Linked DNA regions of Coturnix japonica. Each later gene encodes a partner of the first gene's protein in a complex. Links are inferred from orthologs where the notes say so. Each region holds a gene or a part of one and is shown in the gene's direction. Other genes may lie near its edges.

Region 1 (3,560 bases):
TTTTACAGCATTAGCATATTAGGAGTTAATGCTACTCTGCATAATCTTACTATTCAGTAGTTGGTTTTGGGAAAATTAACTTCAGTACTACTTGAATAATGCAACTAAAGTAAATACGTGGGTACTTTAGGTTGAATACATTATTTTCTTTCCTATTACCCCTGTTTGTCTTTTTTTCCCTTCTTTAGGAAATTTGTGAAAGAACAAAAACAAGTTCAGGAAGAAATTAGTAGAATGTCATCTAAAGCAATGCTTAAAGTACAAGAAGATATTAAAGCTCTGAAACAGCTTCTCTCTGTAGTTGCCAGTGGATTACAAAGAAACACTCTTAATATTGACAAGCTGAAAATGGAAACTGCGCAGGTATCGCACACTTTCTGTTAAGCAGAGTTTGAGTGTTCATTGTTTATTGTAGAATCTACAGCTTTCTCAATCAGTCAAGGGAAGTTGTTGAAACTCCAAATTGAAGCAGTTGTAAACAAAGTGAAAAGTTGAATCCCTTCTGATCTTTTTGGAATTACTGGAGGTGACTGACTGAAATCTGCGATGCCAGTGTTTTCAGATAAGTGTAAAAGCAAGGAGAGCGTTACTTAGGAAAGCACCCTACTTGCGTAGACAGCAGAAGGGAATATGCACCCACTGTAGTTTGATTTCAGTTCCCTATTCAACTGATAGTTAGTGAAGGTTTTTTTGCAGTCACGTGCCCAACTCGGGGAGCAGTGGAGACACATGTTTTCTTATCACTTAAAAGGTATTAGGGACCAAAGTGTCTAATTACATCTAGTATTTATTTAATGAAGAAGTCAACTCTGTCTACCAGTCTTTGTATTAACTATCCAACCAGTGTGAGCTCAAGTTTTGGTTCAGGTGCTTTTGAACTTAAGCTCTGTGTTGCTATTGCTTTCATCTGTCTTGTCCTGGCTGCTTGCTTTGTTTCTAAATGTATTTTATTCTAAAGTGAAAATATGCTCCTAAATTTTGAAAAGAGATACTCTGTAGTTGTGCTCTGGCAATTATTTGCTGTGAAAGCAAACAACTTGTTAGTAGTGCTCTTATTTCCTTATGATTAGTAACAAAGCCAGGCACTGAGAAATGATTAATGATAGTATTATTAGAAAGCGTTAAACAACATCTAGTGTAATCATCATGTTTAAAAAGATCTTTTCCATAGGAAAAGAAAATTATCACACTATTAAGCCTTTTTTAAAGGCGAGATAACCCTTCTTGTAATTTCTTTTAGGCATGTTATTTTCTTGTCATTATTTTTCTTAGTCTTTAATAAATTAATAGGCTGTCTGAAGTACAACAGAATGCAAACCTTACCTGTGACAGTCTGCCCATAGCAGGAGGGCTGGACTAGATGATATTAAAAGACTAGATGATGAGTAAACTTTGAGGGTGTACAGCTGCCTGCTTCTTGTCTAAACATATTTTGATATCAGCAGTTCTTCAACTTCATGCCAATCTATTCTTTGAAGAATTTCTGGTCAGATTCTGTTGTAGTTTTAACTTAAATGTTTTCTTCTCATATTTGTGAATTAACTGTAAAATTGTAGTTATGCTCATTTTGAACACTTAATTCAGAATCTTACATTTTATCGATTTTTCCTCATTTATTTAGGAGCTAAAGAATGCAGAAATAGCATTAAGAACACAGAAAACTCCTCCTGGCCTGCAGCATGAAAACACAGCCCCAGCAGAGTGAGTTATTGTTGCTTATAAGAAAGAAAAAAAGCCAATAATATAACTTCCTAAGTTGATGTGTTTTTTTCTTCTTGTTATTCCTGTACTGAATGCTTATACATGTCTACTTATATAGACGTGAGAAATACAGTCCTTGCTCTTTTTCTACTAGTAGAAGAACATCAAGAATGTCATTAGGACATACCTGCTGCAAGTAATGAAATGAGTATAGGCAGCTAATGCGGTGGTGTGGTCTTTGTTTTCAAATGGTGGCAAATCACTAAAATCATGTGATTAAACTTTACTGTTTTACTCACCTAGCTACTTCAGAATCTTGGTAGAGCAGTTTGAAGTACAACTGCAGCAGTATAGGCAACAAATAGAAGAACTGGAAAATCATCTTGCTACTCAAGCAAATAATTCACATATAACTCCACAAGGTAAATGTTTCTACTTACATGTTTCATACACAGAAACTAATATTATACCTATAATAGGCTTAATAATAAAAAACTAACAGTAATTAATCTCCTCATCTAATGTACAGAAACAAATGTTCAGATAAATTCTGTGGTTTGGAATGTGTCCTTGAATTTGTAAAGTCCTTTAAGCTTTGTAAAATGAATTTGCTTCCTGAGGTGCAGTTTGTGGGCTGGGTTTGTGTCATTTGGGAACTTTGGAAGGTGCCTGGGAATATAAATTCCAGCTTCTGTGCATCTGAAAATGAGGTGTAAAGAAGTGTGTTATATTCGTACACTCTGTAAGCATAGGACAGTCTGTCTTCTGCTCTTTCATGAGAGTGGTTTCTGAGTCTTTCCTACATCTATCTGAGGCTCTTGGATGGGATCTGGGAATGGAAGTTTTCCTTGTTTACGTTCCTAATGATCTCATAAGCATCAGAGGAATCGCCCTTCAGTCTTTTCTTAACTTGCCTCCAGATTGCCTGGTTGTTTGGTTTAGGGTTAGGTTTTTTTTTGTTTGTTCTGCTTCCAGACCACTGATTTGTCATTGTGCAGTGTTCTTAATGTTACAGTGGGAAAACCTGATTTCATTTCCATTTAGTTTTACTTTCCTCCCTTCTTCCATCCCCATTAGTGAGACTTGTGTACCTACCTGCTGTTGTAATGTGAGGTCTCCATGCATCATAATTGCCCTACATGAGTGTGGGAAGTGATAAAGTCTTGGTTTTGTTTCTGGTGGGGTGTTTTTATTTAGGGTTTTTTTTCCCCACAAAATTAAGTTTGGAGCCCTGAGAAATGATGCTTCAAAAACTAGTTCTGTGTGTGGGAAGACAGGTGTTACATCACAAGTTCTGGGTTTCCCATAGACATTAATTTATTTCATACAGTCTTTTTGTGCTTTATTCTACCTGGATTCAGAGTGGGCTTCTTGCTACAGTATAAACATTAAGCCTTTCCTCATGGAAGTAAGGTTGTCACTTACAATATTCTATGTGCCTTTTACAGATTTGTCTATGGCTATGCAGCAAATCTATCAAACGTTTGTAGCTTTAGCAGCACAACTTCAGTCCATACATGAAAACGTAAAGGTATGTTGCTTTGATGCATTTCTATGTGTTTAGTGAAAAAACTGGGGAGTCACAGTTACTGATACTGTGTCTTCAACTATGCTTTTTTCTGTTAAATTCTTTTAAGAAATGACAATTGTCTGATATGCTTGGATTAAAAGGGTAACTTCCATTCAGCTGAAGTTGAATTTGAAACATTTGCTAATAGTGATGGTGGCAACTGAGCTGTCACTAAAGTTATAACGTTTTTCATCTAATTTCTTTTTCATTGTTAATCAGTTACATGAAGGATGTTGGTGGGAAGAAATGTGCTCTGGCTTTGTTTTTTCAACCTGTTTCATGGAAAGTG
Region 2 (4,156 bases), on another chromosome or scaffold:
TATTTTCTCTGTATTATTTTTGTTGCTTTTCCTGCAAACATAAAAGTGATTCTGCCAATCAGAGCTATCTTTGTGATGCAGGGTGACTGTGGTCACATGGAAAGTACTACAGGGAGCCTGAGCAATCTCAGCTGTCAAGTATGTATATATCAGTATGCTGAATGCCCGTGTCACCTGGAGCAGGCAGCCCCCTGTATGGGGTGCGTCCTGGCCCTTTTCCTCCACTCCCCCCTGCCTCACTTCTGCCTCTGCACATGCACAGGGAAATCTGGAACATCTCTGCATCATCCCAGTGCTGCTACCTGCCAAAGCTGCCATCCACCCTCCAGCACCTCCCTTGCACAGTGAGGGTTCCCTTAAGTAAATCTGCACTTAGAAGTAGGAGCCAAGAGCTTTTTCCTTTCCTCTCTGGAGTTTAGGAAATTTAGCTTCCCTGCACGGAAGCTCTCTAATGTGCCACATTCAATCTTCCTGTGTTGCAACTTTTTTCTTTCAGAGCACTGAAGAAGAAAGGTCCCCGCTCATCAGGACATAGTAGTAGATCTTCTTAAATACGTGAGCTTGGAGAATAAATCATTAGAGCTTACCTAATACCAGCTACCACTACCCAGTGTTGTCCACTGTGGAGAAACAGTCGTGTCAAGTGTAACGTTCAAAGATGGAAGAGAATCTGCACTGTCGTCAGGGGAGGAGACTTTTCTTAGCAGCTAAGTTACAACTACTGAACTACATTTTAAAACTGCTCGAGATCCTGCTTTTTTCAGCCCCGCACTCTCTCGTACCTGCACTGACACTCAGAGACCATCATAACCACTTCCTCGGTGAAAATAAAACGGCCTGATTCGTTACAGAAACGACGGGTAACATTTACAAATGGCCTTAGGAGCGTGGGCTGCAAAGAACCCTTGTAGAGATGCAGCAGGTTCCTGTGTCACTCACACACCTGTCGGTTTCCTGTAGCCTCACTGTTGTCTTTTCTGTAAAGTCCTGCGCGCTGCTTCCTGCCGGTTTGCACTGACTGTTTGGTATTAAAGTACAGAACGGATCTGTACAACTGATCCAAACCGCTGCGTGGAATTCCTTAAACACCTGGTGCTAGCAGGTAGAAAGAAGCCAACCCCTGGGAGTGCTCTTCCATTCAGACCTTGTAGCTGTTCTAACCCTGCATGGGATCCCATTGCTTGTAGGGGATATCCTTAAAGTTCATGGGGTTCTTTTCCCTTCAACTGAAAAAGAGAAAGCAAACCAAACTTGCATGGTGTTGCTGTAAGGCACAGCAGAGGTGTGCTTTTGCTCACTGGTGGTATCTCAGCTACCAGCAGTGTGCGTTTTGTACACACGGGTTTGTTGGTGACATTTGTTGTTTGGGATCAAAACACACCTCCAGCCTGAGGTACGTGCAAGGCCTGGAAAAGCTCTCAGCATTTTTTCCTCGCCAAGTGGAAGCTGCTTTATGAAAACCAGTCCCAGCAGTGGGACTTTTCCCACTGATGGAGCATTCTAATTGAGACGCGTTTCCATTAGATGTAGACAGTGACACACGTTTTAAAATGTATCATTTTCTTCCACACAGAGGTATAGCGGGGTTTATCCTGTTTGTTTTTCTCCATTGGTTTGCTTCGTTGGGTTTTTTTTGCCTTGTGGGTGCCTCGTTCAAGTTTTATTCTAACTGGGCTGGCTAACGATGCTCACCGTTACTTAGGCTCCACATTACCAAGCCCTGTCTGAGCTTCTCTCGGTAAACAGGCGAGAAAGTTCTAAGAGAACGTTAGCGCTTCCGATGGCGAAAGGCCTACAGCAGGGCGGTCATTACAGCAGGCCGGTCTCTCCGTCACCCTCCGCCCGCCCCCCGTCCCGCAGTATCTGTGCTGGACCGCCTGGCGGCGCGTTATGGCGCAGGCGGAGCATGGCGGCCCGCCCCGTCTGGAAGCGCCGTAGTGACGGGGCCGGAAGCACCACCCGTTGTTTCCTGGCGGTGCGGGCTGCGGGCACGCCTCCCGCCGCTGCGGCCCCTCATGGCCTTCAACTTCGGGGCGGCGGCGGGCGCCGGGGCCTCCAACCCTAGCGGTGAGTGCGGGGCCTCCGCGTGGGGATGGAGGGAGAGCCGTGAAGGGCCGGCTGTGAGTGCGGCTGGAGCCAGCCCCGCCGGCGGGCTGCAGGGCGACACTGGGCTTACTGTGCCATACGGCTCAGGAACGCCATCCCAATAGCAACGTGGGGAGAACGGGGTTAAACCTTGCTTTTAGCTGCTAAGCGTTTCGTGCTTGGTGCCAGTTAATGCCTTACTCTCGTTATTAACTATGCCTGCCTCGTCTTTAGTGCCAAAACGGTATGTCAGCTGTTACTTCCGAACCTACCTTTCTGCAGAACTAACGCCGCCTTGCTCTCTTTCTGCTTCATGCTTGTCAGGATTTGGTGGGCTTGAAACCACAAACTCCACCGCCGGTGGGTTTAATTTTGGGGGTTTCGGATTAGCTGCTAATCCCGCAGTGAATTTTAATATTGGGAATTTCGGTGTTTCTACTACCTCAACTCCGCCATTCAATTTTGGTAACAGTCTGGCAAGTGCAGGTAGATATTACACATATACTTGTTCTGTAATAAATGTGAATAGCAGAGGTCCAAGAATTGCGTTCCTGACTCAGAATCTGTGCTGAACTTCCTTTATATACAGTGAAGACTGGAGGCAAAAGCTCTGTAGTGGAATGAGTTATAGAGCCGTGCAATTATAAGGGTTTTTATTTTTGCCTACTAAATTCTCCAGAAGTAGCTGATAAGGAAAAATGACCACATGGCTGATTAGACACTGAACTGGAGATGAATCACAGTAACCTGCTAGCCTTATCCCATCCAAAATCGAGTCTCAATCACACAGCAGAACTGAAACATTGGTTCTGCCTTTAGGTCTGGGCCATCAGAACTGTTGCAGAGCTGGTCCCTAATGCCTCATTTCCTCACGTGACATTCTTGGACTGCTGCAGTCATGGTTTTCATCCTCCCCATGTCTCCTCATCGGCCTTCTGTTGGTTGCCATGAATGTGCTGCACTTCAGTTGTTTCCGTGGAGAAACAAATTTTATACGATCAGCAATAAAATGAACAGCTCTCACTTTTACCTCCATTCCTAAAACTGTTCTGCCTCTTGACGTGGAGCATGTCCCAGCAAAGTAATTCCCTGGGGGGGTTTTGTCCAGCATGGTGTGTGCTGACTGCTTGTTGAGAAAACCCTTTGTAGCCCCATGTAGGCTCATCAGTTCTGAGTAACCAGCTGATAAATTTCCAGCTAAGTCTGTCCCATTTTGTTAAAACAAAATTGCTCAACTATATGGATTTCTCACACTTTTTCCTGAATGGAATTCTCCCTTGGTTCTTGTTGCCGCTGCTCGTATAGGAGTTATATTCATTCCACGGCATCATCACTCCCTGTGTTAGAATACTCCTACCTGTTTTGTGAGCTCAAGGGATCTGGTTTGGTTTTTAACTGGGTATGAGTGCTACTGGACTGTATTTCTTGAGCTGAATTGTAACTAATCCAAGAGAACTTGGATATATTATTTTGTTCAGTAGTTTGCACTTTTAGAGCCTTCTCTAAGAAAGGGTGTTAAATTGCTGTGAACACAAATCTGTCTAAAAATTGTGTCGTCTGCTGTTGCTGCTAGGGTTGCTTATGTGCTGATAGGACTGAAACCTGGAAGTTTCAGGGAGCAGCTCTTACATTTAGTTGTGTCGTTTGCTGAATTAAAATAAAATGTGGCTGCACATCAGCTTTGATTTGAGCTCTTTATTTTGTATGTATATACAAGACGGTAAGTGCAGTAGGTCTGAACAGGCTTCTTTTTTGCTGTTGACACGTGAATGAGAACTGGCAGCATTGCTTTGTTTTGATACATTGTATATACTAGACTGTCCATCTTCATTTAAATGTGTGTAAAATCGGTCAGAAACATGGAGGATTTGAAACACGGGGCTATTCAGGTGTCCATATGCTGCACATTGGGTCAGATGGTGCATTAGCAAAGAGATGGTGTGGTCCGAAGGACAAATGCAAAGATTTTTGGGAGCTGTGGTGGAGCTTGGGCCTGTGCTTGGGTTTCCCCCTGCTAGCCAGCAGCTGGTTTTCCTGGAAACCTGTGGGCAGCTGCTAAGTTTAGTGTGTT
Region 3 (4,084 bases), on another chromosome or scaffold:
CCAGCAGCAAGTGCAGCTGCTGCCACTGAGCAGCCCGCCTCGCCTGTAAATAGCTGCCATGCTTTGGGGACAGGGTGGGGGGTGATGGGGGCCACAAACACAAAACAAAGCTTATTTTTACATGTTTTGTACCTTCTGTGCTGATGGAGGAAATAAATGAGTTTGGCTGAGCCCTGATGCTGCTTGTGACACGTGTGTGGGAGCACTGGTGCTGGGGGCTGCGCCAACCCCCTGTGGGCTGTGGTTTGAGGGGACAGAGTGGTGTCGTGCAGTTGGGGTGCTCTGTTTCACAGCCCCTGGTGAGTGGGGGGCTCAGGGTGCCACATGGGGCAGGTGTGAGCACAGCCCGGCCGGCTCCTGCCCTGGGGGGGCAGACAAGGAGGGGGGTGGGGGCGTGGGAAGGCGCCTGGCTGCTCTTTTCCTTCCGAATACACCTGCCAAGCGAAAGTTGGCCCTACCTGTGCTGCAGGGCACAGCCTGCCCACACATGTCTGTGTGCTGTGTGCTCTGCTCCTGGCCATGCTGCCTCGTCCCATGCTCTGCGGGTGGGGACAGCTCGTGCCCTCCAATGGGGCTGGGAGCCGTGTGGGGTGGGTGGCCCTGAGTCCCCGGGCCCCTCGCTGGGGTGGTGCTGGAGATGGGAAAGGGGCTGCCCCGCTCAGTGTGTATTTGCCTTGTAAATCAGGGCCTGGGCTCCTTCCCAGCCGTGCCCCGGGTTGGAGCAGCCCCCAGGACGAGCTCTGGGGGCCGTGCCTTCAAACATGAGCGCTGTGGGAAGGTGTGAGGGCAATGTCTGCTGAGGGGAGCTGGGCTGAGGGGGGTGTGCGGCCCGGGGTCCCTGCAGGGTGGGTTTTTTAATTGAAATCAAGTTTTTCTTTATGTGAGTGAGTGAGCCTCACATCCTACATGGCACAATGGACACAAGTGGGGAATGGGGAACAGATGGCTGTGGGGGTTCAGGGCAGCGAACAGCCGTACTGATGGCAGTCTGCAGGCGTTCCGCTTTTCGTTTATAGTGTTTTCATCTCTGACCCCCGGCCCCGCGCGGCCGTCGGGCCGTTCCTCATTGGAAGAGGCGGCGGGCAGCCTCGAACCCGCGTCTCCCGGCTCACCGCCCCCATAACCACGCACAGCCCGCGCCGCCTCCCAGCGCCTCAATCACTTCTTGTCGCGAGACGAGCTGGAGGGGCGGGACTCAGCTCGACAACCAATGGAAATGCGTAGCGTCAGGAAGCGCGCCGGCTCGACCAATGGGCTGGCGGGGAAGGGGGAGAGCGTGGCCAATGGTGGCGCGCGGCGCGGGCGTGCAGGCGCGGCGGCCGGAGCGGCGGGCAGGTGAGTGAGGGGCGGTGGGCGCGGCGGGGATCGCGGTGCGGGCGGCCTCCGTCCTCCGTCCTCACATCGTTCTGCTCCCCGGCTCCTGAGCTCGGCGCTCCCTGCCCTGGGCGGGCGCTGAGGCGCGGGGCCTCCTGTGAGCGGGTGCCCTCGGGCCGAGGCAATGTCTGCCAGCTGTGCGGGCCGCTGCCGGGGGTCCGGGCCGGGCTGTGTGAGGGCTGGAGGCGGGGGGAGATGCACGGGGTGATGGCGGGTGGGGCCGACATGAGGGGACCGAAAGGATGGACTGACTGGGAATGGCTACATCAGCTCGTGTGGTTCCTGCTTGTTCCTGCGGTGCTGATAGCAAAGGAAAGATTGTGGGGAGAGGATCCGAGCTACAACATAAGGAGCGTGAGGGGAGTGAGCAGGGCAGGCGGCACGGCAGTGCAGTAAGACCTCAGAAACAGCTGGTTTTATTCAGTTTGTGCTGTAAAAGCTCTATGAGACCAGAGCTTGGGAGCCGCGATCAAAGGGTTGGTAACTTACACACCTGCCTGCAGCTGAAGAACAAAGCATACAGGACTGGGAAATATAGGGATGGCAGCTGATTTAATTTGTGGGTGGTGGAATGAACACTGAGTTGAGGAGTTCGTTGCTGTGTGCTCTGTTCAGGACTTTCCTACATCCAGGGCACTGTACCAGCTGGAGCACCACATGCAGCTTGGAGCCCTTACGTGTTTGGTTTTAGTGTGGCTTGTGCTTTTAGCTTAAACCAGGAGGTGGTGTGGCTCCCTTTGCTAGGTTTGATTAAAAGTCGTGTAGCAGAGGGCAATTTGTGGACAACATGTAATAGATGTGTGGTTTGCAATCGGTCCTTTTCCCTTATAGAAGTTGAAAATGAGTCAGGGACAGACCTTGGGAGCGGGAGCAGGTGACCTGTGTGTGCTGCTGGTGGGGCTCAGTTGTCTGTACCATTCCTGCCCTACGTGTGCTCTGTTTAACAAGCTCATTGACAGTTCCTGCATTCTTAGAAAGGAGCTTAATATCAGTGTCTAATATCACGGAAGTGGCATTTTTCATTCATTCAAGATATACATGTATGTATTTTGCCGCCTGCTCTTTGCTTTCATACTCAGTCACTTACTCTCTTCCTTCCAAAGGGAGCGGATGCTGACTTGTCACATGGGTCTCTGGAGCACTCTGAGAGGGTAACGCTGGATTTCTTCCTCTTTGTTTTGTCTTGGGAAGAATCTTTTTGCCCCTGGTTGGATTGTACTCTTTATCAGCTCTTCTGATTGCAGTGGGTGAGGCTTCCCTCTGAATTTTTAGTCAGTCTCTTTAAATAAATTAATTATAATTAGGTGGCACAAAGACTGTCAGTGTATGAAGTACAGCAGACACTTGCTTACACATGGGAGCTCTTCAGCTTGAAGTCTTTATGAAGCTCATATGGTGAAATGTTCAGCATGGCCGTATTTGGAGTAGGACAGCACTCTTCATCTGCTAGCACTGCAGGGCCTGGCTTTCCACGACCAGCCGGCATTTATGGTCAGTCTGAACAGAATTAGAAACCTGTCATCATTTCTGATTTCATTTTGGCTGAAATCCAGCCAGCTTGTAGAGTTTGTAACATCTACATGCGGTTTTAAATGTTGGGAAAACATTAAATGGGGCTTTTATTGGACAAGCAATAGCAGACTAATGCAGCAGCTTCTATTGATAAGTCATCAAAGTCGTTTTACAGAAGGGCTTTTTCAGCCCTGGCTTCTAGCCCTGGGTCGATCCAGTTTCACCGAAGTTAGTTTAATTTCTGGTGTATTTTCTCTCCCTTAGGTGTAAGTTGTTGCACATTCTGCAGCCAGACACAACAGTCTGCTGTCATTTGCTCGTCCCTGTGGCAGCAGTTTTCCATCTTGCACAGCGGCATTTGGAGTCAGACTGCAGCCTCCTGAATGCAGTAAATTCTGACAGCATGGAGACTAAGTAGTTCATGCTGTTACCCGGTCTGGATGTTTGAAGTCTGTCCCTTGGAACACGCTGCTGTTTGAGCTCTAGAGAAAGGTTTGAGCTCTCATTCCCAGTGTTTGGTTATAATCAAAGGTAGTTGGAGTTGCTTCAAATTAACAAGTTTATTCTATATTTGCTGAATTCAGTCTCTGTTTTCCAGAGTCATTACGGTTGTCCTACCTTGGCAGATTTGTGGGACAGCCTGTATATGGAATTGACTTGGGATCCGTGCTTGACAATTGCAGTCTGTGGAGCTATTTGTAGTCCCCTGACTCTCTGTGCTTTTGGTTTTAGAGCTCTGAGAAGTCAGTGCCTTCTCACACTCTTGGCTTTTCATCTTGTTCTTAATGAGAAGAGGAAGCAGACTGATTTGAATCAAATCAAGCTGAAGTCTGTGCTGCTCCTGCACTCACTGCTTCCTGCTTTCTAACGGTACAGGAGCGTGGCTGTTGTGGTCAGCCTCTGCCAGTGCAGGCAGCTTCTGCTGGGGCACACTGAGGTATCACAAGTAAACACTGGAAAGATGCTCTGTACTGCATTGCAGAGCATGGAACTGCTGCTTTCCACCACGCCCCTCTCTCCTCCCAGCCATCTCAGTGGCATGCTAGTCTGTTCAAACAAATCCAGACCCTGCTGTCTCTCCTGAACAATAGGTCAGTGCACATGGGGTTGCTACGTCCCCTAGCAGCTCCTGGTTTTCCAGAGGTGGATGAGGGATGGATGTGGAATTCTCTGTGCCTGGATGGAGGCTGTGGAGCTC

The links. The genes of interacting proteins can lie anywhere in the genome.
Region 2: the proteins of NUP58 (region 1) and NUP54 are in contact, whole or in part, in a crystal structure (PDB 4JO7), measured with the Homo sapiens proteins. The link is inferred for Coturnix japonica from reciprocal best matches to the Homo sapiens genes NUP58 and NUP54. Residues at the interface, in NP_054808.1 of Homo sapiens: Pro342, Tyr345, Phe346, Leu349, Val350, Phe353, Gln356, Leu357, Tyr360, Gln363, Ile364, Leu367, Leu371, Gln374, Ser378, Ile392, Tyr393, Phe396, Leu399, Ala400, Leu403, Ile406, His407, Val410, Lys414, Tyr417, Tyr420, Arg421; in NP_059122.2 of Homo sapiens: Tyr453, Leu459, Glu462, His466, Leu467, Gln469, Gln470, Gln471, Gly473, Leu474, His476, Leu477, Ile478, Ile480, Ile481, Asp484, Leu485, Ile488, Lys489, Leu490, Val491.
Region 3: NUP58 (region 1) and NUP93 share a complex: the UniProt entries of both Homo sapiens proteins name them as parts of the p62 complex. The link is inferred for Coturnix japonica from reciprocal best matches to the Homo sapiens genes NUP58 and NUP93.

What each region holds. Positions count from the first base shown.
Region 1 is NC_029516.1:158,385,957-158,389,516, reverse strand, and holds part of NUP58 (nucleoporin p58/p45), read left to right. Parts: intron 1-188; coding exon 189-363; intron 364-1,621; coding exon 1,622-1,701; intron 1,702-2,004; coding exon 2,005-2,123; intron 2,124-3,149; coding exon 3,150-3,232; intron 3,233-3,560. UniProt on the Homo sapiens protein: Component of the nuclear pore complex, a complex required for the trafficking across the nuclear membrane.
Region 2 is NC_029519.1:44,543,195-44,547,350, forward strand, and holds the start of NUP54 (nucleoporin p54), read left to right. Parts: upstream 1-1,296; 5' UTR 1,297-2,015; coding exon 2,016-2,067; intron 2,068-2,409; coding exon 2,410-2,571; intron 2,572-4,156. Other genes in the region: SCARB2 (lysosome membrane protein 2), read left to right, coding at 497-535. UniProt on the Homo sapiens protein: Component of the nuclear pore complex, a complex required for the trafficking across the nuclear membrane.
Region 3 is NC_029526.1:559,016-563,099, forward strand, and holds the start of NUP93 (nuclear pore complex protein Nup93), read left to right. Parts: upstream 1-1,224; 5' UTR 1,225-1,335; intron 1,336-1,615; exon of another isoform or gene 1,616-2,525; intron 2,526-2,536; exon of another isoform or gene 2,537-2,621; intron 2,622-3,150; exon of another isoform or gene 3,151-3,417; intron 3,418-4,084. UniProt on the Homo sapiens protein: Plays a role in the nuclear pore complex (NPC) assembly and/or maintenance. May anchor nucleoporins, but not NUP153 and TPR, to the NPC. During renal development, regulates podocyte migration and proliferation through SMAD4 signaling.